4 linked regions of the Drosophila melanogaster genome follow. The protein of the gene in region 1 purifies or fractionates together with the protein of each later gene. This does not show direct contact. Each region holds a gene or a part of one and is shown in the gene's direction. Other genes may lie near its edges.

Region 1 (9,062 bases):
CCACTGCAATCTATGCCTTCCAGACCTTTCCCACAGATTTGCTGGATGGGCAGCTTTCGAGAGCTACACATACCCATGCTCAAAAGATCGACCTGGACCGTCTTGAGAACGGTGGGGTAGTCCGTCGAGTTCAAATATACTTTTCCCCAGCCGTTGAAGAAGCAGGATCCTTTTTGAATACCAGCTTCTTGTAGGTACAATGGGATTAAATTAATGTTGGCTGTCATCTCAAATGCGGATACCAGAATGAGTAACGCCATGTTGTTTTCGGCATTGAATCTGTTGAACTGTTCATGGGAGACTATATTCAGCACCTCGAGATCCACGTGCTGCTGGTCAGCCGTAGTCGAGGTATCCCATTCGCCAGCTCGCACCACCAGATCATACTTGGTTGTTCCATTCAGAATATGAGCGGCAGTAAGGACCACATTTGGATTAATCAGAGATCCCACTCCTATATAGCGAAACAGCCAATCCCTCTGGTCGAGCACAGAAACCACCCAGGGAAATGTCGCTCTGGGATTACTGCCATATGTTTCACGTCGTATCTGCATGCGTATTTCCATTTCAGTATTTTTTATATCTATGTACAAGTATTATATAAACTAACCTGATTGTAGTTAAAGTATTGACTATTCACAAGGCTGATTATCAGTGTCGTGAGAAACGCAAAGTATAGCGACATTCCGCAACGAGTGTTCGAATCAAAATGAAATCGAGTACTTAGAACTTACCCTGCGAACTCAGCACTCTGCTTATCAGTAAAATGCGTCGTTTTAAGAATTCCACAAAGTATTTTGAGATAAATCACTTGTATTATAAAAAATATTCGCAGCATTCGTTATATTATTTCACAACGATCCAAGCAAATGCAGTCTAATTTCTCTCAGCGAACTTTTCTTTCGCCTAAGTGTAACTTTTTCATAATACTCGCAGCTGAATACAAAAAATGAAAAGAAAACATAACAAAAACTAGTTGAATAGCGCATACATATGTGCGAGGAGTCAACAAGCGCACGGTTGGCAGAATGAGGCAGCAGATTCCAATTAAGTTTTAAATTTTTAGCAGACAAGCTTATGAATGATGGCGTTCACTTCGATGGCAGCCCACTTGGCAGATGTCCAAAAGGTTTGCTCTCACTTTCCTCCTGCCAAATGTGCTAATCATTTTCATTTGCTACGAAATAGCCGAACAAATGGTGAGCTCACGAAACAAGCGGCGCCTTGGTCCTTTGCAATGTTACCCCCCCCCTTTACCCTCCTTTCAAGGACTTTTCCGCATGCATTCCCAAGTAGTTGAACATGGGAGTGCCATTATGGGAAGTAATAAACAAGAAATGGAATAACTGAATTGTTCGGATAGAATTGCAGATGCCCTTTGTCCTGTGATTAGCATTTGTTGCACAAGTCGAGTGAGGCACAGCAGAGCACATATATTCAGTGCGCTTTCTAAATAGATCAATTCTGTGACAACATTTTTGAAAACGCTTGTTTTAGAATATCAGTACGTAAATCTTAAAGCTCAAGATACGAATGTACCCAAAGAGATATATAAAACACAAAATATCTGTAAGATACAAAAGCATCAGATTTTAAAAGTATCTCTTAGATACAAAAGTATCCATAAGATTGGTAAAGTTTGAATTCCTAGCAAGTTGGCATCTCCAATATCCAGCCCGCCACGATTCTCCGCACTCAACAGATGGTTAAAAGCTTCAATTTGACAGCCGTCGGTTCAAAAAGCTCAAACCCGATTCATGGGGGCGCCACCCGTTCTATTCCAAAGCATACAAATGCCTCAAGATGAAACAAAAACAGAAAATAAACAACAAATACGCATGTATGACCTTCGCACAAGGTGACTGGGGCAAAAAGAGAGCGCCAGTGAGAGAGAGGCAGTGAGCGAGCGAGAGCACAGGGAGCAGTGCAGGAATACAGCATAGCTAAAGTGCGAGAGAGACAGCAAAATGCACCGGCGAGATAAGAACCGCTGCATCAGCAACGCACAGTGGGCGATATGGTCAAAATATACTGATAAAAGTTATTATCTGTTATTGAAATATACAAAATTTTCATTCTTAAATGATTAATATAAAAATCGAAAATTTAATATTTAGTTGTATAGTTAAAAAACAACCTATATTGTTGTATTATATCCCCTAGATGATAATTCGTAGCAGTTGATACCCAGCGCACCCACTGTGCGCTGGGAGTTGTTTACAAGGGGAGCAGCACGCTGAGAGAAAAGCTCTGGCGCAAAAGCTATCTCCGAAAGTATGCCGAAAGTATAAAGTGAGAATCGCTCCGGATTTTGCTGCGAACGGTCGTCTGTTCAGGTTCAGGTCTGGGTTGTGTCTATAGTCTCCGTCTCCTCTTCGCTGTCGCACACGCAAACGGGTCTACGCCACACACACACGCGCACCCACGCAACGGAATCAGAGAACTATATAGAGCCGCCACAGAGAAGGGACATACATAACTAGGACACCATGTCGAAGCCCCAATCCGACGCCGATCGGCGCAAACAGATCTCGGTGCGCGGGATCGCCGAGGTGGGCAATGTCACCGAAGTGAAGAAGAACTTCAATCGCCACCTGCACTACACCCTGGTCAAGGATCGCAATGTGTCCACCCTGAGGGACTACTACTTCGCCCTGGCCAACACCGTCAAGGACAACATGGTGGGCCGCTGGATTCGCACGCAGCAGCACTACTACGAGAAGGATCCCAAGGTGAGTTCCGCGCCCATCCAGGCCACCCACTTATTGATTTAGTCCGTGGAATTTTCCAAAAAGAAGTGGTCGGACCACCTAACCTAACTTTATCCGGGCTCTGGAGTTCTTAGGCCTGATTATCCCTTCCTGCGGCAACCAAAACTTTTGAAATAATTTCCTTTGAAATATTTTTTCCTAAATTTCTTTGGCTATTACGACATTTTTTTCGGCCTGCTCCATTCTCTTTTATTCGCTGCTGATTTATTCCCCGATGCGCTTTGGCCAACGAATTTACAGTGAACACTCAGCCAAAAAAAAAACTAAAAATTAAATGGGAAACGATAAACGTATTCATAAATAACTGAAGCAGTTTTGCTTTTATCCCAAGTATTTCCACTATGTCTTTTATTATTATAAATGAATATTCCATGCAACATTTCATAATCCTATTTTAATCCTTATTTTCTAAAATTCTAAAAATTTCCGAATGCTCACTGTTTATTTGAAATTTCGGCTTTTACTGCATTTCCCACGCTTTCGTTGTTTTGCTACTACATAATTGTTTCGTTTCATTTAATTATTCGCGAAATTGCCAAAAAGCAAAGACTGCAATGGGATCAATGCCAAAGAAGTAGCGCCAAAAAAAGGTGTGACACTTTCACTGCAACAAATTGCAGAGGTGCTGCAAAAAGCCGGCGAATTTATCAGCCACCCCCTTTTTACGCGCCCACTTGACAATTTTCCCCGCCAGCTGACGAAGCAACAAAAGCTTAAAAATAGCTCTGCATTTAGCAGCTGTCGCCGAGCTACTATAGAAGTAGCTCTATCCAAACATATTGATGAGTTTTTAGTAATAAGTTTTCCTGGGGCCATGGCGATGCAGTTTAAGTAGGGCAAGGGTGCATAATAAGTGCCCCCTTTTAGCCACATCCATCAGATACACAATATATGTATATACATACATATGTACATGTATCCAAACACGTGCCCAAAGCGTGAGCTTTCCATTTGCAAATTTGTCAGCATCGGCTGCTAAACATTTTTGTCCTTGCTGAATGTCAGCTTAAATCACTTTCAATTTCAAGCCCACCAAAATGTATCTATTAATTTTCCATTGACTCGAGCAATTTTGGCGACTAGAAGTTCGAGCTATATACACTTTTGGGTGATAAATATTTTCAATTCAACTAAATTGTGGATACCGTCACGGCGTCGGCACACATTTTTTCAAGGTCAATCAAAGGTTATTAACAACAACCAACTGACAAAAATATCAAGGAAAATTTCCCCCATTTTTCCTCTCTCATTTTTATTTTGGCTACCATTTCGGTTTTTGTTCGTTCTCAAATATATATATATGTACGTATGTATATATAAGTTCTTTCAGGTTGTGGAACTTTTATAGGCCCGATTTTGTTTAGTTGTCCCCCCACATGCAATTAGCTCACGCAACCATCTAAATAGAAATATATGAACTGACGACGATTGTATCTTATGGATACTTAAACAGCTGTTGTTGTGCGTGGATTGGTACTTAGAGTTAATTGAAGACAACTTGGCGTCCATCGGTCTCTAAACCAATTTATGCAAATTGAAGAAAGTTCAGCGGGGTGAATAGTCACACAAAAGAGTTTATTTCCCTGTAGTTTTCCACAAGCAGTTCGAAAATACTGTTCCACTTATCACCAAATTAAAAGCGTTTAGCTATCACCGATCATGTAAAAATTCAATGCCAGGGCGCCACTACCTATTGCATTTCCAACTTCCTATGCACATCTGTCATTTATTTATTGCATATAGGGAAAAAAAACCAATAAACAAAGGCAAACAAACACTGGTCGTTTGTTGGTGAGGCGCTCTTTATCAAAACCGCAAAAAACATATGTCTGGCATCTAATTCGTCTGTAGAACTGGCCAGAACGAATATCAAAGACCCTACACAACAAACTGCTGTGGAAAACATTAGCGCCGGCAGTTGAATGACTCCAAAAGCTTTTTATGGATCTGGAAGATTACTCACGTTTTGTTGTGAAGCTCTTATCTTCGATTAGATAAGCTAAATAGGTTATTAGCTTCTTTTTTTTTCTGCAGCAAAGAAGATCATGCTTAGAATTGGTTTTAATATTTGGATTTTTTCCAACTCAGTATTTACTGAGTGCACCTCATATTTCATAACTAAGAAAATACCTACTTTTATAGTTCATATTTTGGTATACCTATATAGATATAAACAATAATGTGTTTTATCACAGCATTTCCATTGCCCAGCACATATTGCCCGAATCAGTTCATACTCCATGTTCACCTAATTCTGTATATCTTATCTGCTAAATGGACTGCAAAATATTCCTAATCGAAAGTCCCCGATTCTATATAGGCGCCTTAACCCCTTTCACCTACAAATATGCACACAAAAACAAGCTCTCCAAACATTCCGAACTAATTAGCTATAGTTTTTTTCCCGGATCGCATAGCATCAGACATCTGAAAGCATCATGTGCGATAGGTATGCGTTTTAGGGCATAGATTACATAGGTAGGTTGACTGATAAGGGATAGGATTAGCATACCCTGGGAGCCATTAGCTACTGACTGGCGACACTGTGGGCGATGTTGTCGTCAATGCTGATTGGTGATTGCTGATCCGTGATCGATCCATGATTAGCCCAGCATTGGCTGGTGATAATAATCGCCATTCCAAGCTGTATAGATTCATGCTTAGCCATGATGTTTGCCCAGCATGCAAAGTGCAGCCTGCAATCGCTTGATAGCGTTGCTATAAACCCAATTAATGCCCTCGTAACATCGATCGATAGATTCGCACTGAATCGAACCGGTGATAGTGAATGCCTTCCTCTATTTATAGTTTCCAGTTGGGTTGCCCTGAAATTACCGTGCGATTTTTCGCTGATAAGCGAGTATTCCGTTGGGAACCGTAAAAGTTGGAAACTGGTTGACCTTCTGGCCAAACATAACTAGGTCTTTCAGCCGCAGTCGGCGCCCCTCTTATCAGGCTTTCGTTGTATTATAGTTATTGTATGCACTGTACAGCTGAACCTGGTGTGAGTGACCCATGCACTGCGGAAATGCACGAAATCTGAATCCAACTCATGAAATAATCTTATGACATTTCGATCTTCCAATATAGTTGCTAATTAATCATGGATACAATAGATCTAATAACGACCCCTGTATTTTTTTAGCGCGTCTACTATCTGTCGCTGGAGTACTACATGGGTCGCTCACTGACCAACACCATGATCAACCTGGGAATCCAGAGCGAGTGCGAGGAGGCCATGTACCAGTTGGGTCTGGATATCGAGAACCTGGAGGAGATGGAGGAGGACGCCGGTCTGGGCAATGGTGGTCTGGGTCGTTTGGCCGCCTGTTTCCTCGACTCGATGGCCACTCTGGGTCTGGCCGCCTATGGCTATGGCATCCGTTATGAGTACGGTATCTTCGCCCAGAAGATCAAGAACGGCGAGCAGGTGGAGGAGCCCGATGATTGGCTGCGTTATGGCAATCCCTGGGAGAAGGCTCGTCCGGAGTTCATGCTGCCGGTCAACTTCTACGGCCGTGTGATCGACACGCCCGAGGGCAAGAAGTGGGTGGACACCCAAAGGGTGTTTGCCATGCCCTACGACAACCCCATTCCCGGATACAACAACAACCACGTAAACACGCTGCGTCTGTGGTCCGCCAAGTCGCCCATCGACTTCAACCTCAAGTTCTGTAAGTATCTATAAGGAGAGGTCCCCTTGATAAGGCAAGAACTAACCTATGGCTATCTTCACCTATCCAGTCAACGATGGTGACTACATCCAGGCCGTGCTGGACCGCAATCTGGCTGAGAACATCTCACGTGTCCTGTACCCCAACGACAACTTCTTCGAGGGCAAGGAGCTGCGTCTGAAGCAGGAATACTTCATGTGCGCCGCCACGCTGCAGGATATCATCCGCCGCTACAAGGCCTCGAAGTTCGGATCCCGGGAGGCGGTCCGCAACACCTTCGATCACTTCCCCGACAAGGTGGCCATTCAGCTGAACGATACCCATCCATCGCTGGCCATCCCTGAGCTGATGCGCATCCTGGTCGATGAGGAGCATCTGACCTGGGAGAAGGCATGGGACATCACCGTCAGGAGTTGCGCGTACACCAACCACACCGTGCTCCCAGAGGCCCTGGAGCGCTGGCCCGTCTCCCTGCTGGAGTCGATCCTGCCCCGCCATCTGCAAATCATCTATCACATCAACTTCCTGCACATGGAGAATGTGAAGAAGAAGTTCCCCGACGATTTGGACCGCATGCGCCGCATGTCGATGGTGGAGGAGGATGGCGAGAAGCGCATCAACATGGCTCATCTGTCCATCGTCGGCTCCCACGCCGTCAACGGTGTGGCCGCCATCCACTCGCAGATCCTAAAGGACTCGCTGTTCCATGACTTCTACGAAATGGAGCCCCAGAAGTTCCAGAACAAGACGAACGGTATTACCCCGCGTCGTTGGTTGCTGCTCTGCAATCCCGGACTCTCCGACCTGATCGCCGAGAAGATCGGCGACGAGTGGCCAGTGCATCTGGACCAACTGGTTGCTCTGAAGAAGTGGGCAAAGGACCCCAACTTCCAGCGCAATGTAGCCCGCGTCAAGCAGGAGAACAAGCTGAAGCTGGCCGCCATTCTGGAGAAGGACTACGGCGTTAAGATCAACCCCTCTTCCATGTTCGACATTCAGGTGAAACGTATTCACGAGTACAAGCGCCAGCTGCTGAACTGCCTGCACATCATCACCCTGTACAACAGGATCAAGAAGGATCCCACAGCCAACTTCACCCCGAGGACAATCATGATCGGAGGCAAGGCTGCTCCGGGCTACTATGTGGCCAAGCAGATCATCAAGCTCATCTGCGCCGTGGGCAACGTTGTGAACAACGATCCCATTGTGGGCGATAAGCTCAAGGTTATCTTCCTGGAGAACTACCGTGTCACCCTGGCCGAGAAGATTATGCCCGCCGCCGATCTGTCCGAGCAGATCTCGACCGCCGGCACAGAGGCCTCTGGTACCGGCAACATGAAGTTCCAGCTTAACGGCGCCCTCACCATCGGCACCCTGGACGGTGCCAACGTTGAGATGGCCGAGGAGATGGGTCTGGACAACATCTTTATCTTCGGCATGACCGTCGACGAGGTGGAGGCGCTCAAGAAGAAGGGCTACAATGCCTACGACTACTACAACGCCAACCCCGAGGTCAAGCAGGTGATTGACCAAATCCAGGGCGGATTCTTCAGCCCCGGCAATCCCAACGAGTTCAAGAACATTGCCGACATTCTGCTTAAGTACGACCACTACTACTTGCTGGCCGACTACGATGCGTACATCAAGGCCCAGGATCTGGTCTCCAAGACCTACCAGGTGAGATTCGATAGCTTAACTATGTATTAGAAAAATAAGTAGCAAAGATCATTATTTAAACCACGATACTTTTGCCTAATTTGCAGAACCAAGCCAAGTGGCTGGAGATGTCCATCAACAACATTGCGTCCAGCGGCAAATTCTCGTCGGATCGCACCATCGCCGAGTACGCCCGCGAGATTTGGGGAGTGGAGCCCACCTGGGAGAAGCTGCCAGCGCCGGAGGATCAGCCACAGAACTAAATCAATTTTTGATATTATTTTATTATTTATGTGCTTTACTTTTGCTAAAGTCAAAGTTCAAGTTTAGGCGCCAAAAGCAACAACTAAAACAAATGAAGTGAACACGGGCCACAGCACCGAATTGTTAATATTTTATTTAATAAAAATCAAGATAAACAATTCGCCTAGTTCTCTCATCACTGTGGAATCGAATCGAATCGAATCAACAACGGTACCTACCTAAAAAGACCTCAGGAACACTTTCAAAGTAAAAGAAAAGTCTATTTAAAATAATGGAAAGAGTTGTAAAAAACGTTAGTGGCAAGCTTGTTTAGATATCTGATATGCGTGTTTTAAATCGAGATTAAACCTCAAGTTCAACTGTTAAATGTAAAAATAATTTAAATTGAATAAAATTTGATTCGAAATAGAAAGCTGGTGTTTCACTGTCGCTTGGGTGATAAATAAATAACACGAAGGGTTTACATCTTAATCTCATTGCAAATGAACAATTTATTATTTGTTTTAAAGACAATCTGAACATCTATTTGGGGAATGAACTTTTTATACAAATATTATGGCTATTACAGTTCCCGTTTAGTAAACAACACAAAAATGTAGTCATTTTTACAATGTAATTGTTTGGATCTCTGTTTTAAAATAGTCACTAAAACTTGTAAACATTTCAAAAGTAGTTTCGTTCTTTGCTACAATGGATG
Region 2 (4,448 bases), on another chromosome or scaffold:
TTTCCTTGAATACACAATTTAATGTACACAATTTAGGAAGTTACTCATTGAGTAAGACGGTGTACCACCACATTTGTTTAAAATAATTTAACTGGTTGAGTAAATCATTTTCAGCCCTATAAGAGTCTTTGGTCAGGATCACTAGTGAATTCGGTCTATTTTTAGGGGAAATTTTTTAGCGGGGGTTTTGCAAAAGTTTAAAGATCTTCCCTGTAACTGACCACAGAACTTTAATTGTTAATCACCGATCTAAAAAAGTTACTAACAATCTAATCACAAAGTTACTCCTCGAAGAATGATTTACTATCAATCTATAGATAAGAAAGACCTATAAAAGATGTTAGCAGCTCGAAATGTCCACAACACCCCGCCTCTCAACAATCGAATCATGTTCTCAGCCAAGAGTTCTGCAATTGTGGCCGTAGTCCTCGTCCAGATGGTGGCTCAAATCCACGGAGGAGTCTACAGCTATGAGGACAAGTGGGTGTACCTGGACAAGACCCTGGACCTTCCAGAGGAAGCGATTCTCGGTGGCGTCGATCCCGATGGTTACTACACCTACGTGGGTCGTGTCACATACAGCAGTAACATTCTGCCAGCCCGAGTGGTACCGGAGCTGGGAAAGGCCACCTACAACACCGACACCTTGGGCAACCAAGCCACCACCTACGAGGTTCTGGTGTCCAACGCCACTGTCGGCTACCATTGGATCCGTAGTTTCGATGGTTTCCGGGAAAAGAACGCCGTATCTGTGGGAACCAACGCCCTCAGCGAGCGTGTCTTCATCTGTCGTGTCCGCTGTGATGAATCCATCTTTATCGGCACTCTGTACCTTTCCAAGCGGATGTGCATCGTCAAGTACGACAACTTTCCGCTCCGGCAGTTCGACAAGTACGAGATCCTTGTCCGCGAACGCCATGTAGCTGCCGTCTCGCCATTTGTTGATGGTTATATCCACCATTAAATGCTGAGCAACAAAATAAATAGAATAAAATATAAATACAAAATATTTATTAAAAAAAAACAATTCCTTTCAATTTATTTAATGACTTTGAATTAATAAAAATAATTAATATAAAAGCAAAGTTTCCTATTCTTTTTTCTTAATTTAAAAGAGGTAGAAAAACAGAATAACTGTGTTTAAGTTTTTGATAAATCCAAAGAAGAAATTATGTGAATTCCTATTTTCAATTTTTTTGTAACTGTAACTATTTATTCCTTTGTTAAATTAATTACTTAATTATACTCGTAGAGTAAACGCATTTACTTGATTTTGATTGATTGACAATGATATAACAAGTGGATGGAAGCTTTTTCAACCCAACAAAGTATATATAGTTTCGATCAGGATCACTAGACGGGTCATTCAAGCCATATCCGACTGTCCGTACGTTTGTCTGTATGAACATGGTAATCTCGGGAACTATAAAAGCTAGAAAGTTGATATCAGACTTGCAGATTCTAGTCACTTCAAGATATCTTCCTAGTCAACAGTTCAAGAATGTACTGCTACAAGGGCTTGATAATTGTGGCCGTAGTCCTAGTTCATTTGGTGACCCTTATCAGGGGAGCAGTATATAGCAGTGAAGACAAATAGATCCTTGCCGACAGGACGAAGGATCTGCTGGACGAAGCAGTGCTGGCTACATGAACTACGTCGGCCGTGTGTACTATAATGTCCTCAATAATGTCCTGCCTGCCCGAATGGTCCCGGAATTGGTTAGGGCCCACTTCAACACGGACGAGGCTAACTTTGCGCTGAAGGCGTCTTCATAGAAACGCTGTAGCCTTCGAAAAGAGGGTGCATTCTCAAATACGAGTACGAGTAATACAAGTACGAGATACTGATCAGGCAACGCCAAGTGGCTTCGTTCATGCCATTCGCTCTGTAAATACATTGTATGTATACTGAATGCAAGCAAATAAAATCTATAACTCTTTATCAGAAAATAGTCTTTTGCGTTCTTAATTGATTTATCATGTTAGATAAGATGACAACTTTGATTTTTATATAAGGAAAGGAAATTACATGAATATTTCACTAAGCTAATTGAAATATATACCAACTTAAAATTTTATTATATATTAAAGAAGTGCGATATAAGATATTCCATAGGGGAAAATGTTGATTGTATGACACGATCTTTCGTCTTGTAAAACCTGTATGTCATGGGAAATTAAAAAAAATTGTTCTCTAATATTGTTTTATTCAAAATATATTAAAGTAAAACTTATAATTTTTAGTTTATTTATATCAGACTAATTTTGACCAACTTGAAGAGCATACAAACTTTTTTTTGATTCAAACGAGAGGGATATTTCGATGGCTATGCTCTTTACTAATATTGGTTTTAAAACAAAAGTTTTTAGTTGCTCATTGTATGAACAAACAACAAAATAAATATATTAAAGTTCCTAATTAAATATATTTTAAATCATTTTATGTTTAACAACTAAGTTATAGCTCAATATTATGAAATGACTTAGGGGGATTTTTTCTTTAAATTTCTCTTACTTTGAAAGGGTGCAATAAAACAACGATGCGTTAGTCACCGAAACAGATGCTATCAATACCAATCTTTTGATAGCGATAAGTGTAATTGGAGTCGAAAGATAAGAAGACGACTATAAAAGCAGTTAAGTCACTGGCCAGACACTCAAAGTGAATCCAGCAGTCCGTCAAGATGTACAAACTTGTCTGTGTAGTTTTGGCCCTGTTTGCAGTTGCCTACGCGGTTCCCTCGACTTATGGTGAGAACCAATAATAATATAATATAGAGGGTTAACTGAATCCAATTAACATAGCCATTTCGAACAGATACCGAGCACGTGTGGAAGGCTGGTAACCTGTCCTACGTTATTCCCTATAATGCCGTTGTGGGTGGCTTCGATCCCTACGGATTTACCACCTATGTTGGTCGTGTTAAGTACTCCAATAGCATCCTGCCGGCTCGAGTTGTTGCGGAAACTGGTACTGCTTACTTCAATACGGAAACCACATCCTCGAAGCTCCTCGTCTACGACATCCTAGTGGCTGAGCGGGATGTAAATTACGTGTGGGTCAGGAGCTTCGATGGATTCTATGAAAAGGGAGCCGTTGCCGTGGGCACGACGGTCAAAAATGAGCGGGTGTTCTGCTGCCGTGCTAAGACCGATGGAGGCATCCTAATCGGCACCCTGCTCCTTAGCAGCCAGAAGGTGTGCATCATCAAGCACGAGAGCTTGGCCCTGCGAAAGTTCGACAAATATGAAGTTCTGGTGGCCCAGCCTAAAGGCAATGGAACATACTACTAAATTCTACTACTAGATCTTTGTCTGAATTAAGTTCCTTTGATATCCCGGCTCCCTTAAAAAATAAATAAAACATAATTTATTTCAAGTAATTATATTTATTTTGTAATTCACGGAATCGCACTTATTCAATTTTTTGATATGCATCAAATCTTATTAACATATATAGTTCAGTAAATGGATTGACTTTGAAACACTTAATTTTTATAAACAGACTAGTTTTATAAAATATGATTCTCAGGCAGATGATGTTTTTCACAAATTTCTTAATACATTCATATTTCTGGCAAAGAAAGACGTCTCCTTTCACATCAAAATTATTAATTCGTCCCCAACAATTTTTATATCATATTTATATTCCATGACATTTATAGAAAAATTAAAATAAAATAAAAATAAAACTGCCATTAAAATAAAACTTTATGCCTAAAGCGAAAATTGAGATTGGTAATTTTTTAAAAATGCCTTTTTGGAAGGACAACTATTTCTTAACTCGAAATTTCTTTTAAATTCATATTTTATTATGAACTCATCGTAATTTTCTGTTCTACATGCTGCTATGGACAAGAAAATGTATATACATTTTAAAGGTTTTAACTTTCGTACGTTTTTTTTACTCTTAGTTCATTTTGACGAACAAAGTAAGTCCATAATGTCTTTTTTGATAGATAGAACAGTTGATTGATTATGGTATTTAATCTGTAACCAAAGATCTTGCCTTGATTTCAGTGTCGTAAACTATTTTGGTTAAATACTATGTAAGCCACTTTGATTGGCAGAAAGCTATTTGGCTGTGCTTTAATTTAATTTGAAGGGGGTTTTGCAACTATCAGTTTTCGCAGAAGTAATCGATTAGATAAAAAGGGAGATTGGCCTTTTGACACCGGATCAAATTGGACAGTACTCAGAAATGGTTATTGATAGGTAGAATTGAAGTCATAAATTATCGCATTTGTTGCAGAAAAGCTATCGGTTTACTATGAGTTACGGCCACAAGCCAATTGGTTAAATAATAAAATATAAAATTGTCTATTTTCCTTAGACGAAGTTTTTATTAATTTTTTGAATACATGCCAACTTTGCTAACAAGATCATTAAATATTTAACCTACATAAGAATTTTCATTTAATTAATACAACTGCTCGTGAAGATGAATA
Region 3 (6,473 bases), on another chromosome or scaffold:
GGCCATTTAGCCAATAATTAGAGTTGCATAAGCGAAAATTCCGTTCGAGTTCAATAAAATGAAATTTCAAAATCAAACCATAAATACAACCCCCATATTTTCATTCATTTTATCCGAGGCAAGTGGGGATTTCTATAGCTTCTAGGAAATAATTGGAGATAGGGTCTTTGAGTATATGGTCAATGCGGAATCATGACCATGCGTAATTATCCTGAGTAATTAGAGTGTCCAGTCATAATAGTCGATATATGGCCTTGTTCGAATCGTAAAAGTAATGGTCTAGCATAAAACGATTTTATCTGGACACGAAGCTATATAGTATATAGTCTAGATATCGGTCAGCAATCTGATCAGGTTTATCAAGTCCAAATTGTGGGGTCAGATTCGCAACTTGCATTCAGTTTCCAATTTGGCTTCCAGCCTAGTGGAAGCAGTCGAGTAATTTTCATCGAAAAAAGAATATCCCTAAAAATGGTTGCCTGTGAGTCTTCTATATAGAGTAGCATATCCCGAAGGAACAGTAACTAATGTGAACTCATTTTAGGGCTGACGGTTAAGTCAGTGGCCATCTTTTTGGGCCTGGCCTCTACTGCTTTTTGTGTGGCCACGATTGTGCTGGCCGTTCAGAATGCGGACCTGGAGAACGATCTGCAGGATGCCCTCGATAAGATCGACGCATTGACGGTGGACACCACGTCCACGTCCTCCACCTCTACCAGCACTTCCACGACCACCACCACTGCAAATCCCAATGGGCCCACGGATGACACCGAGCCTGGCTCTACCACCACACCTGGCGTAGGAGGTGACACAACCCCCAGTGCAGGAACATCTCCGGGTGGTGAAACTTCGCCATCATCCAGTACAGGAAGCACCACCAATCCCATCTATCCGACATTGCCGACAGGACTTCCTGATCCTGAAAAGGTGAGTGAAGTGCAAGAAAAATATATTTCACGGCTATAAAAGATGTTAGTTCAGAAAAACCCTCACACAGAGTGGGAAAATTTTCAGCGATTAGACGTAAAGTCGGCATGGCTACTAATTTCGAATTTATTAAGTTCCAACTTAGTCTTACTGGTCATTTCAAGTGCTTATCGCTTGGCTAGCGTTTTTTTTCCTCTTTTTTATCATAATACAAAACGGGTCTAATTTCTTGGGTCTTTTAAGTTAGTTTAATTGCGGCTAACGCAGTGTTAGGAGCCACAAAAATGGGACACATGCAGGACAGGATTAAGGGTATTTATTGATAACGAAGGAAGTTTTGGGAAAACACCGATACCGATTCATGTATATTTTCATAGACTTGATCACCGCTGAGCGCGTGGCTATATTCTTTGGTCTATTATCGACCTGCTTGATCGTTGCCCTTGTCATTGTGGCCGTCCACAGGGATAATTTATTGCTGCAGTTGGACGAAGCCAAAAGGATGTTGGATGTTCTGGAGGAATACATTCAAAGCCACTTGTTGTCCACCATTTCGGAAAGAAATTCATAAGAATTAGGGTGCTGGCAAACATTCAAAAAGATGGCTTTCAAATCCATATCTATTTCCAAAAATGGTTAAAGCAATAAAGCAATAAAGGCAAACGGATAAGAAACCAAAATACGCTTAGGTTTCAATATTTGTGTAGTAGAGCTATTGTTGTTTGATATCTGAAATTGCACCTAATAAATTAGGACCCTAATTTCACAACATTTAGCCACTATATCCAGCTAAGGCATATTTGTTGCAACGACGTCCACTTGGTTTACGACCTGACCACAACAGTGCTATTTCCTATCGCCACCTTATCAACGCATTGCTCACTTAATAGGGCCAAAGCCCATTATCGATGGCGTGGATATTAAATAAACTTTACGACCCCGCAGATCGAATGGCGCCTGCCCACGGAACTGACGCCCATCAAGTACAAGGTGTACTACCATCCCGACTTGACGACCGGCGCCTGTGAGGGAACCGTGTCCATTCAGTTCCAGCTGAACGCGATCACCAACCTGATCGTCCTGCACGCCAAGGAGCTCAATGTGCACAGCATCAGCATCCTGAACATGATGGCGCGCATACGCGTGGCCATCGATAGCATCAACTTGGATGAGTCCCGGGAGCTGCTCCTGATCACGCTAAGAGAGGTCCTCAGTATGAACAAGGCCTACACACTGTCCGCAAGTTTCGACTGCGATCTGAGCAGTCTGGTGGGCAGCTACATCAGCAACTACACGAATGCCGATGGAGTAGATAGGTGAGTAATTTTAAGGTATATCTTGCGATGACAAACATTTTGTTAGCATGTCTAGACTAAGATGTCAGGTATCTTTATTATATCGTACTATTTATGTAGCTAAGATCGTATCTAGTGCACTGTCCGCAACTAGTACGATTGCAAGCACACTTGTGAATACCCCCAATGCATTGGAGATCATCGCATGTTGGGGCCATAAAAAAGCCGGTCTCAGCTGATGAGAGAGCTTTCCGGAGAAGCTCGAGTGCCGTGACAACTTTGGAGCCCGCTTCAGTCGGAAGTTCAGAGCAGAGCGCGACGGTCGCGATAGAAAAGAGCGGACTCCGTCTGCAAATACGATCTCAATTACGATTCTCGCGATTCCCCTTTCTTTTCGCTTTTCTTCGTTTTCTCGGATTTCTCGAGTGCGCGCCTACGATTTGAATCAAGAATGATAGCTGTCCGGCAATTGCCGTTATCAAATTAGCCGAGTGAATATTCCTCGGACCCGGCAAAGTTACAATTAATGCCATTCGTAGACAAAAGAAAAACGAAAAACGAGACACGAAAAGCTGTGATTTCAACTGTAAATCAAGTAAAAGGCATAGTGCGAAATGTGACGGGAATAATAGATAATAAGTGGCCCATATCAATCAGATACCGTTGAGTCCGCTCCAAAAGCTCCACGCCAATACAAAATGACCATTGTCACCGCATCGCCGTTATGCGATCAAAATTCTAGTTTTAATTGGGCGCATTGAGGCGATCACTATTTTTAATATTCGCTGAAATGTGACCACCGGATTCTATGCCAACTTTGACTTTCAACGGGTATTCGTTTCGATAAACAACGGGCCATCGCAGGCTGGCCAAGAGAACTCCACATGGCTGAATCAAACAGGTTGCACCGCTCCCTTCCCCTCCCCTCCTTCTTTCCCACACCCCTTTGGGACCGCTGCAAACAGGCTTGGAGCCAAATGCATACATAGTTCACTTGCCGCGCAAGTTCTTGGCCTTAAATCGGCCACAATCGATGCACAGCAAAAAAAAAAAGAAAAGAATTATATCTATCGTAGCCCATTATCAGATTATATTGGTATGTCTCTTATCAACGAGAAGTAGATTCTGTTCGTAGTTGCATTCTTTGACATTTATCAACAATTGTTACCAATCTGATTATAAGAAAAATTAATATCACAGTTTTTTTAATTATCAATATTATCAATATTATAAATTGTATATATAAATACAATTACGGCAATTAGACATTTTACTTCTTCATTAGATCTTCAATTTGTATCTTCGATTTTGTTGGTAATCATTTGCTTATGATTTTTTTTGCTGTGTATCTGTGGTTGTTGGCCAGCAAATGCGTCGTGTTTACATCTTCAATGCGGCAAATACTCAATGGCCGCTGAGAAAATACTTTCTTCAAAAAGCCGCAACAAAATGGGTCGACATCATTGACTGCCAAGAAACTTGTTGTCATAGTAGCTTCCCCTACCCGTTTCTCGCTGTGTTTCCTGGGTTTGTTTTGTTCTTGAAAGTTCAGTCAAAGCTCGGTGGTCAAACCTTTTTTTCATTTTCATTGACACTGATTTCTTTTTCGTTCTTCTTGGGCGAAATAGAAATTTTTTTATTTCCAAACGGTGGGAAAGAACCTTCGAAAGTGGAGGGCTTTTTAATTGGATTTTTGTGCTAATAATGTAAATTAACGGCTGTTGTTGGCAGAATTGATAAGGCACTTGACACCTTTGGCGGTGTGTAAATTATACAATTTAACACCTTGAAGTTCATTGATCTACATGCTGAAATATAAACAATTTCATTGATCTTCTATTTATAAAATATTTATTTATTTATATTTCAATGAACTGTTGATAAAGCTTACATAAATATTTGTAAATATCGCATGGTTTCGAGTTTCCTATTTTCCAATATTGAAGTTATTTATAAAGTGTATATCATGAAATCTATAGCATTAAATTAAGCAAGTCAAGGCCGAAGTTTCCTCTCCGATTTTATAGTTTATTTGTGTTGAAAGTGATGCAACCCATTGATTAATAGTAAATTTATTTCGCATTCCGTTAACCCCAAACATGCAAATTGTGGCAATCATTTCTTTGTCAACGCATCTTCCTTTTATTTATTGTTTTTATTTGAATTTTCCCTTTGTGTATATCATAAATTGCAGGCACGTATAGTCGACCATTGTCAATTTCATCCCACCGCGGGTGTTATGGGTAGTATTTCTTCCATGTCTGGGATTCACTTTGAGTTTTTGGGTGTTTCTGGGGCGCACTTGTCACGTATAACTTTGTGTTTATTGTGAAAGTTATGACCTTAAAAAGCCCGAAGAACGTGTTTCAAATGTAAGCTTTCAGTTTCGAATTCCAAAATTTAAAAGCATCTCTGCTCTGAAGTAAACAAACATATAATGGAGTGACAAACAGGGATATTTATCTGAATGATCTGAATCTGAATTTATCTGACAACACAAATTGTTACTGTTTAGCATAAGAAATGATCCACGTTTCTTATATCAAATAATGTTTAGATTAATTCCTTTTTAAGCTGCTGTATTGCGCATTAGTTTTTTTTTTCTGTGTGCTTTCGACTCGATCTACAAAGTAGTGAAATTTATGCGACTCATTAGCGAAGTATGAGAACTGTTATGTTATGGCTTGTGCCCCCGCGATCATCGCTTCATCGGCTTCAGAATGCCGAGATATTCACATCTGTGCAATGGGGCGTGTCCGATTGGCTGTTGGAAGTCGGAGATATATGAACTCATATGGTACATATGTATATACCAACCATTGTCTGCAGATCTTCTGGTTGCTTTTTTTCCGGCGCTCATAAGGTGGTAGTCATGCAATTTTGTTGACTCCGATGTGCGGTGGCTTTGTGCGATGTGCGCTCCCTAATTGAGTCAGCATTACATCATCCGCGGAAGATGCAAGGGGGCGTATACGTATTATACCATGTGTATCAGAGACAATTGCCTGCCGGCTGGTGAAAATTAGCATATTCTGCAGCCTCGAATTCCTCAATTCGCACAATTCCGAGTGAATGGTGATCCGTGTGATACTTCAGCTGCATCGCGTATTGTTCTTTTTTTTTTGGCTTAATACTCCTATATCCTGACATCATTTTCGAAAAGCAAGCCGTGGATCATGACTCTGCGGGCAACTCAATTCATTTCCAATGCTAATAATGGCATCTGTAATTTCTTGCCATCGCACAACCTGCGGAGATTTGTGCAACAGACTCCGTAAATTGACAGGCAAAAAGCCAACAACCTTTTGTGATCCGTCAATCAATCGTACACAGCGAGAAAAACTATACACTATGATTAAAAAAATGCTATTAAGTAATCATCATTGACTATCTAGAGAGACATAAAATTGAGATGTTATAAAAGTATTGTATGCTACTGAATTTCTTAGCGTTATTGTGTAGAGACGCCTCCATAGAAAGTCGTATCATTGCAACAAACCCGGGGATTCGAATTGCAACTCTTGCGGTTAGCCAGCCCAGTTCCAACACCAACTTTATAAACCAAACTAAAAAATGGCTTCGAGTATTTGTAGTAACAATTTCACAAAATGACCAACTTCATTACGTGACCGTTGGAGGGGACTGGGGGACAAAAATAACAGGCATCTGATTGATCTGCAGCGAGTCGAAATTGAGGCAATCTCCACCTGGAGATAGAGTGAAATGTGACGGAAGCTGTGCTGCCCCGCCTCCTTCACCTGGCACCTCCATAAAAGCCGGGTCCATAAGCCCGGGTTTGTTTATAAGCAGCTCGGAGATTATTAAAACAGAAAAAACTGATGATGGCAGCGGAGACGCATGTAATTCAGTACGCGACTTTTATGATGCTCTCGAATTACCCCGCCGATGACACAATAGATTGTATGAAGTTATGGCGTTGTGGGACAGCCCCATAGTTGGCCGAAAAAACTACTGTTAGAGTGAAGCTTACCGATCGTGACATTTAATAATGTTTTCCAGTGATTTACTGTTGTTGAACGCACCGAGCCCAGTAATATAGGACTAGAAACAGCAAAAAAATAGTACAATTAAGAAGGAAAGAAACTAAAAGTCATGTATGCAGCGAAAAACGTACGCCCGCGCAGCAGTCTCTCCACAGACGACAATCACCGGATCAAGGACACCAATCGGCCCCACAAGGCCCGCAGCAACACGATCCTGACCCTCGCCGCATTCTGCGTCTTTCTGCTA
Region 4 (5,317 bases), on another chromosome or scaffold:
TAAGGAACGGATTCTGCGGCTTGGCTGGATCAAGGCTGCAGCAGTATTAGATTTCGCAGCTGCAACTGCATGGGTTGGGCCACCAATGCATTTATGTGTAATATTTATGTCGCGTGTTTTACCAATTCAGAGTCGCCAAAGAGAGAAAGCCCTTGGCAGATCGTCCAGAGCATCACGTTTTTCATTACTTTTAATGTATGCCTTCTTTTCATAACAATTATGAGTCTTGTAATTTTAATTTGTACTTAAATGTAATTGTAAATGTAAATGGAATTATAACATTGTTCGTCACAAAAAAGTTTTGGAAAGCCTATTCCTGTTTCACAGCCTGGTTTTTTCATTTCGGAACTCTGATCACATTTGCAAACATCAAGGTGCCCACAAAGACTAGCGCGGTGCCCAGCCAGTGCCACCAGGTGAAGGGATTTCGGAAGTATACGATCGAAAAGACCAGCGAGATGAACTTGCGGAGTGTGAGGATCAGAGTCACCGTCAGCGAGCTGCACTCCGTGGTCAGGGTGTAAACGGAGCTGATGCACAAATGCTGCGCAAGCACGTTGCCCAATAAGTATAGCAGGATTAGGGGCACTGCCACGCCCAGGAGGGGCAACTGGTAGGACTCGCCCGTGAACGCCAAAAGCCAGTGCGTCCGTATGTCGTCATGCATGAGCAGGAAGGCGGGCAGCGGCAACAGGTGGGTGTAATACAACGCTTCCCTGGCGCACTTGCCATGACGTCGATACAGCAACTCCTGTGTAATTCCCATGTAGGAGGAAACAAATAGAGCCAGCACCAAGAGTGCCACGCCCAACAGCCACCAGAACGTATCCGCCTCGGCGCCACTATCCAAATTCTCCATCTTACCCACCAAATCCGGACTGGAGAAATATGTGCAGACGAAAATGCCCACGCTGATCATGAGCACCGATATGTACTGACTCAACCGGTAACTCCTCTTCAGGATCAACGTGCACAGGCACATGTTGGAGATCAGCGAACCGCCGCGTATGATCATGTGCAGTGTCATTGGAACTTTGAACTTGAACACGTAGTTGTTGCATACGCTGGTCAGGAAAAACATGGCCACGAGGAGCGCATAGTCGCGCAGGCTGATCACTCTCTGGGCCAGGCCAAACTTCGAGGTGAAGATGAAGCCCTCGAGGGCAATAAATGCAAACTGGGCGCCAGTTATAAGGTTTCCAGCGCCGGGATCCAGTTTAACCAGGAGCTCCAAGAAGACGACGCCACTGCAGCAGCCCAAGAAAACGCCGCAGATGGCCGAAATAGCGCGGATGGATAAATTCATGAACTCGCGCAACGAAAGTAGACGATTCCCACCAACTTTAACCTACGATCTGGGCCATGACGAGCTTTTAAGCCAACTTACTTTCTCTTCGGCCATACAAAACGTAAACAAATGCAACAGGTGGTTATCGATAAAGTTCGGTTCGGGCACAGCTGATGTTGGTCTATCGAAAGTGGTTGAAATTCAAATATTCCAAGCGAAAAAGAAAAAATTTATGATTTTAAGAGAAGAATATTTTATTTAATGTACATTACATTCAAAACCAAACTTAAATATGTTGCCTAATCACATTCGAAATATTCGCACCAACAGTCTTTTACAACAATTACAAAATACAATGATGACAATGCTAAGAAAGAAATTACAGATTAGCAAATTAATGGTATATTACTTATTTTTCCTTTTCCAGCAAGGCAATAATTTTGTTTAACTTTTCCGTCTGCTGGGCCTCGAAGTTGTCCAGTCTCTTAGACACTAACAGCGTCAGCTTCTCAAATCTCATGTCGATGTGCTCCTTGAGGATTGCAACATCGGTGGAAGGCGGTGCAGTCTCTTGGGTTTGGTCCTTCGCCTGCGGGGAATAGCCCTTCATCAGGCTCATGAACTGCTCGAACTTTTCGGCCTGCTCCTCCTTCTTCAAGGGACTCGTGCCACCCCTTTGCAGCAGCTCTTGGATTCGCTGCGCATCCATTGGCCTGGGCAACTGGGTGGTTATGCCGTTGGGATTCGGCGCCACCTGGAGCAGGGCTCCGTAAACGCAGATCTCGCTGGCCGAGGTGAGCATCTTCAGGTTTATGTCATTTATCCCGGATCGGTCGATTTCCATGTCATAGCGATAGGGTCGCACCGCAACCTCTGGGTCCTCATCGTCGACGCAAGTGCCGTAGATGGTCTCGCAGTACTCCTGCAAGGGTCCAATGAACAGCTCCACCTTGGGAGCGCTGCAAATCAGGGTGAGCGCGGCGATTTTGAAGCGGTTCGGGATCTGGAAGCGCAGCTCACAAGGCGGCGGCGGATCCGCCGACTGCATGGAAAACAGCACGGCGCGATTCTCGTCGATCACGTCGTCCAAGTCGGGCCTGCGGACAAAGGAGGTTTCAAAATTACTTGATAAAAACCAGTTTCGGGGCGTGGAATCCTTTGTCTCACTTCACAAAGACGTCTTCGTCGGACAAGCGGGTGGCCACCAGTTGGTCCAGCCCGTTGCCCGACAGCTGGGGCCAAGTGCAGCGCGCGGTGACCTTTTCGCACATGCTTTAAGTGACAAAAAGTTGGAATTTATGGGAGCAAAATTTAAAAACAGCCAAATTTAAAAACCAAAACACGAATATAGTGATGACAAACGCGAGCGATAACATCTGCGCGGGGGATGCCAACCTGTTGCACAGCGCAAACTAATTGGACATTTGAAGGTAGCTTGACGCGCTATTCCAATAAGACCATACTCCGGAGTCCAATCAGAGAAGGCACCGCATCTGCGCACTACGTTTTTCCAACAGAACGGCAATATCGCGGCCTGACAGCTGCGACCTTGGACGGCTCCCTTGTAGGTCAAACTTCAGCAGAATTCCCACATATTGCAGTCGCAGCAAGGCGGCAGCTTAAGAACGAGTACACAATTATCCGCAGAGTGATCAACGCAGCTAAAATGGGCGGCAAGTACAAGATCGTGATGGTGCGCCACGGCGAGTCCGAGTGGAACCAGAAGAATCAGTTCTGCGGCTGGTACGACGCCAACCTCAGCGAAAAGGGTGAGTGATTACATCAATTTGAAATTTAAACCTCATATGTGGGATTAAAAATCTGATGTACATCTAGTTTCCAATCGATGATCCTTTGCTTTGATCAGTTTCACAATAGTATTCCTTTTCATTTACCCAAATTAATCTTCATTGACCTAGTGCAACATTATCTCATTCAAACTTTTCTGTGATAAAAATAGGTCTCTACAAACAAAAGCTTTCCAGTGCAATTTTCAGAAGCATCAAAATTCTAGTTTGTTACACTTTAAAGTCAAAAATTTGCCATCTCATATGTTTCTAAAGTTCAGATTATGCTTATGAGCATAATTTGATAGGTTATCGCCTTTTTTTAACCCTAGTAATCAAATTAAATTAAACGCATGCCTTTCAATTAGATTAAATTGGCTTACGTTCGTTACCCAACACGGCGTATACTTAATGTTCGCTAAACATTTGCCCAAACAGGTCAGGAGGAGGCCCTAGCCGCCGGCAAGGCCGTCAAGGATGCCGGCCTGGAGTTCGATGTGGCCCACACCTCGGTGCTGACCCGCGCCCAGGTGACGCTGGCCAGCATCCTGAAGGCCAGTGGCCACAAGGAGATCCCCATCCAGAAGACTTGGCGCCTGAACGAGCGCCACTACGGTGGACTCACTGGCCTGAACAAGGCCGAGACCGCCGCCAAGTACGGCGAGGCCCAGGTGCAGATCTGGCGTCGCAGCTTCGACACCCCGCCACCACCGATGGAGCCGGGCCATCCGTACTACGAGAACATCGTCAAGGATCCCCGCTACGCCGAGGGTCCCAAGCCCGAGGAGTTCCCCCAGTTCGAGTCCCTCAAGCTGACCATCGAACGCACACTGCCCTACTGGAACGACGTCATCATTCCCCAGATGAAGGAGGGCAAGCGCATCCTGATCGCTGCCCACGGCAACAGCCTCCGTGGCATCGTCAAGCATTTAGACAGTGAGCATGGGAGACATAACATATATCATATCATCTTTTTACCATATCCTTGTCCAATCCAGACCTTTCTGAGGACGCCATCATGGCCCTAAATCTGCCCACGGGCATTCCGTTCGTCTACGAGCTGGACGAGAACTTCAAGCCGGTGGTGTCCATGCAGTTCCTCGGCGACGAGGAGACCGTGAAGAAGGCCATCGAGGCTGTGGCCGCCCAGGGCAAGGCCAAGTAAGCACGCAGGCCACACCTCATGAGAATCCACTCAAATACGGCACAAGTCAGAGCATTCTGATTACGCTTCTGTTCAAGATGTAGCCAATCCCATTCGTTGTTGTTGTTCGCGTAGCAGTAATTGGTTCATCCCCACTACAGTTAATAAATAATTTATTATTACACTCAAGAGGACAGGCGGAGGAGGCTTCATTTATTGTCCGGCTCACTTCTTCTTATTCTTCTTGCCGTCCTTGGCCAATTCCAGGCCCAGGATGCACTTGGGCGGCACCTTGTACGTTTCCGTGAGCAGCGTGTGCACAAATCGCACCTGGTTGCCCTGGATTTGCAGCTGCTCGTGCTTTTGGTGCGGCAGTTTCACCACACTGGTGCTGGCGGCGGCTCCCTGCTTGCACAGCTTGATGAACTCGGCCAGGATGATGCCGTACGCCTCGATGTTGCTGACCAGCGTCACCTTCTTGTTGCCCGATCGCGTGGCCAGGGACATCTGGATGAGGGGCTTCCCGCTCGTATCTTTGCCGCTGCACATCTGGTAGGAGTGCTCCATCTTGCTGGTGATGAGGGAGCACATCTCGCTTAGCGAAACCTCTCTGTTACCATACAGCTCGATCAGAGTGTCGTCGGGGCGCACCAGCTTGGTCAGCGGATGGAGGAGACCATGTTTGCTCACGTACTCCCGCACAATCTTCTTGATCTGACCCGCCGGGATTCCCTCGCCGCGCTTGTAATTCAGCTTGGTGAAGAAGGCCGCCGTAACATCGGTCACTATGTACATCTCCTTCAGCTCGGAGTGGAACAGGGGCGTCTCGGACGCCGCTCCATTAGCTTCGCTTGCCTTGACATCGGTTATAAAGTTCACCACTTCGGGGTGCTCCAGGTCCACAGATGTGATTTTATCCACTCCCTTGCTCTCCTCCCGCACCACAATGAATCCTTGGTCCACCATCTCGGCCAGAAAGTTGGAGAGCTTTTTGTAGCGCGTCTTCTTCAGGTCGATTTGCTCCGTGGCCTCCGTGACCACATAGAGTCTGTAGAAATTGCTCGTCAGCAGAGGCAGGGGCAGCTTCTTTCCATGGTT

Evidence for each region.
Region 2: the proteins of Glyp (region 1) and CG5506 purify together in Drosophila melanogaster (affinity purification with mass spectrometry, with the first as the bait; one large-scale study listed by BioGRID). This does not show direct contact.
Region 3: the proteins of Glyp (region 1) and CG32473 purify together in Drosophila melanogaster (affinity purification with mass spectrometry, with the first as the bait; one large-scale study listed by BioGRID). This does not show direct contact.
Region 4: the proteins of Glyp (region 1) and Pglym78 purify together in Drosophila melanogaster (affinity purification with mass spectrometry, with the first as the bait; one large-scale study listed by BioGRID). This does not show direct contact.

Annotation. Positions count from the first base shown.
Region 1 is NT_033779.5:2,128,523-2,137,584, forward strand, and holds Glyp (glycogen phosphorylase), read left to right. Parts: upstream 1-2,290; 5' UTR 2,291-2,489; coding exon 2,490-2,732; intron 2,733-5,916; coding exon 5,917-6,445; intron 6,446-6,515; coding exon 6,516-8,122; intron 8,123-8,208; coding exon 8,209-8,364; 3' UTR 8,365-8,774; downstream 8,775-9,062. Other genes in the region: CG4259 (uncharacterized protein), read right to left, coding at 1-548, 611-685.
Region 2 is NT_037436.4:17,882,582-17,887,029, reverse strand, and holds CG5506 (uncharacterized protein), read left to right. Parts: upstream 1-2,653; 5' UTR 2,654-2,684; coding exon 2,685-2,751; intron 2,752-2,818; coding exon 2,819-3,294; 3' UTR 3,295-3,381; downstream 3,382-4,448. Other genes in the region: CG16775 (uncharacterized protein), read left to right, coding at 389-964; CG7408 (uncharacterized protein), read right to left, coding at 4,417-4,448.
Region 3 is NT_033777.3:13,302,254-13,308,726, forward strand, and holds the start of CG32473 (uncharacterized protein), read left to right. Parts: upstream 1-2,510; 5' UTR 2,511-2,817; intron 2,818-6,242; 5' UTR 6,243-6,335; coding exon 6,336-6,473. Other genes in the region: CG43208 (uncharacterized protein), read left to right, coding at 1,212-1,239, 1,305-1,498.
Region 4 is NT_033777.3:29,145,496-29,150,812, forward strand, and holds Pglym78 (phosphoglyceromutase 78), read left to right. Parts: upstream 1-2,752; 5' UTR 2,753-2,954; coding exon 2,955-3,057; intron 3,058-3,513; coding exon 3,514-4,011; intron 4,012-4,073; coding exon 4,074-4,240; 3' UTR 4,241-4,406; downstream 4,407-5,317. Other genes in the region: superdeath (suppressor of ER stress-induced death), read left to right, coding at 1-3; CG14511 (uncharacterized protein), read right to left, coding at 338-1,306; CG11882 (uncharacterized protein), read right to left, coding at 1,698-2,385, 2,456-2,559; eIF2D (eukaryotic translation initiation factor 2D), read right to left, coding at 4,445-5,317.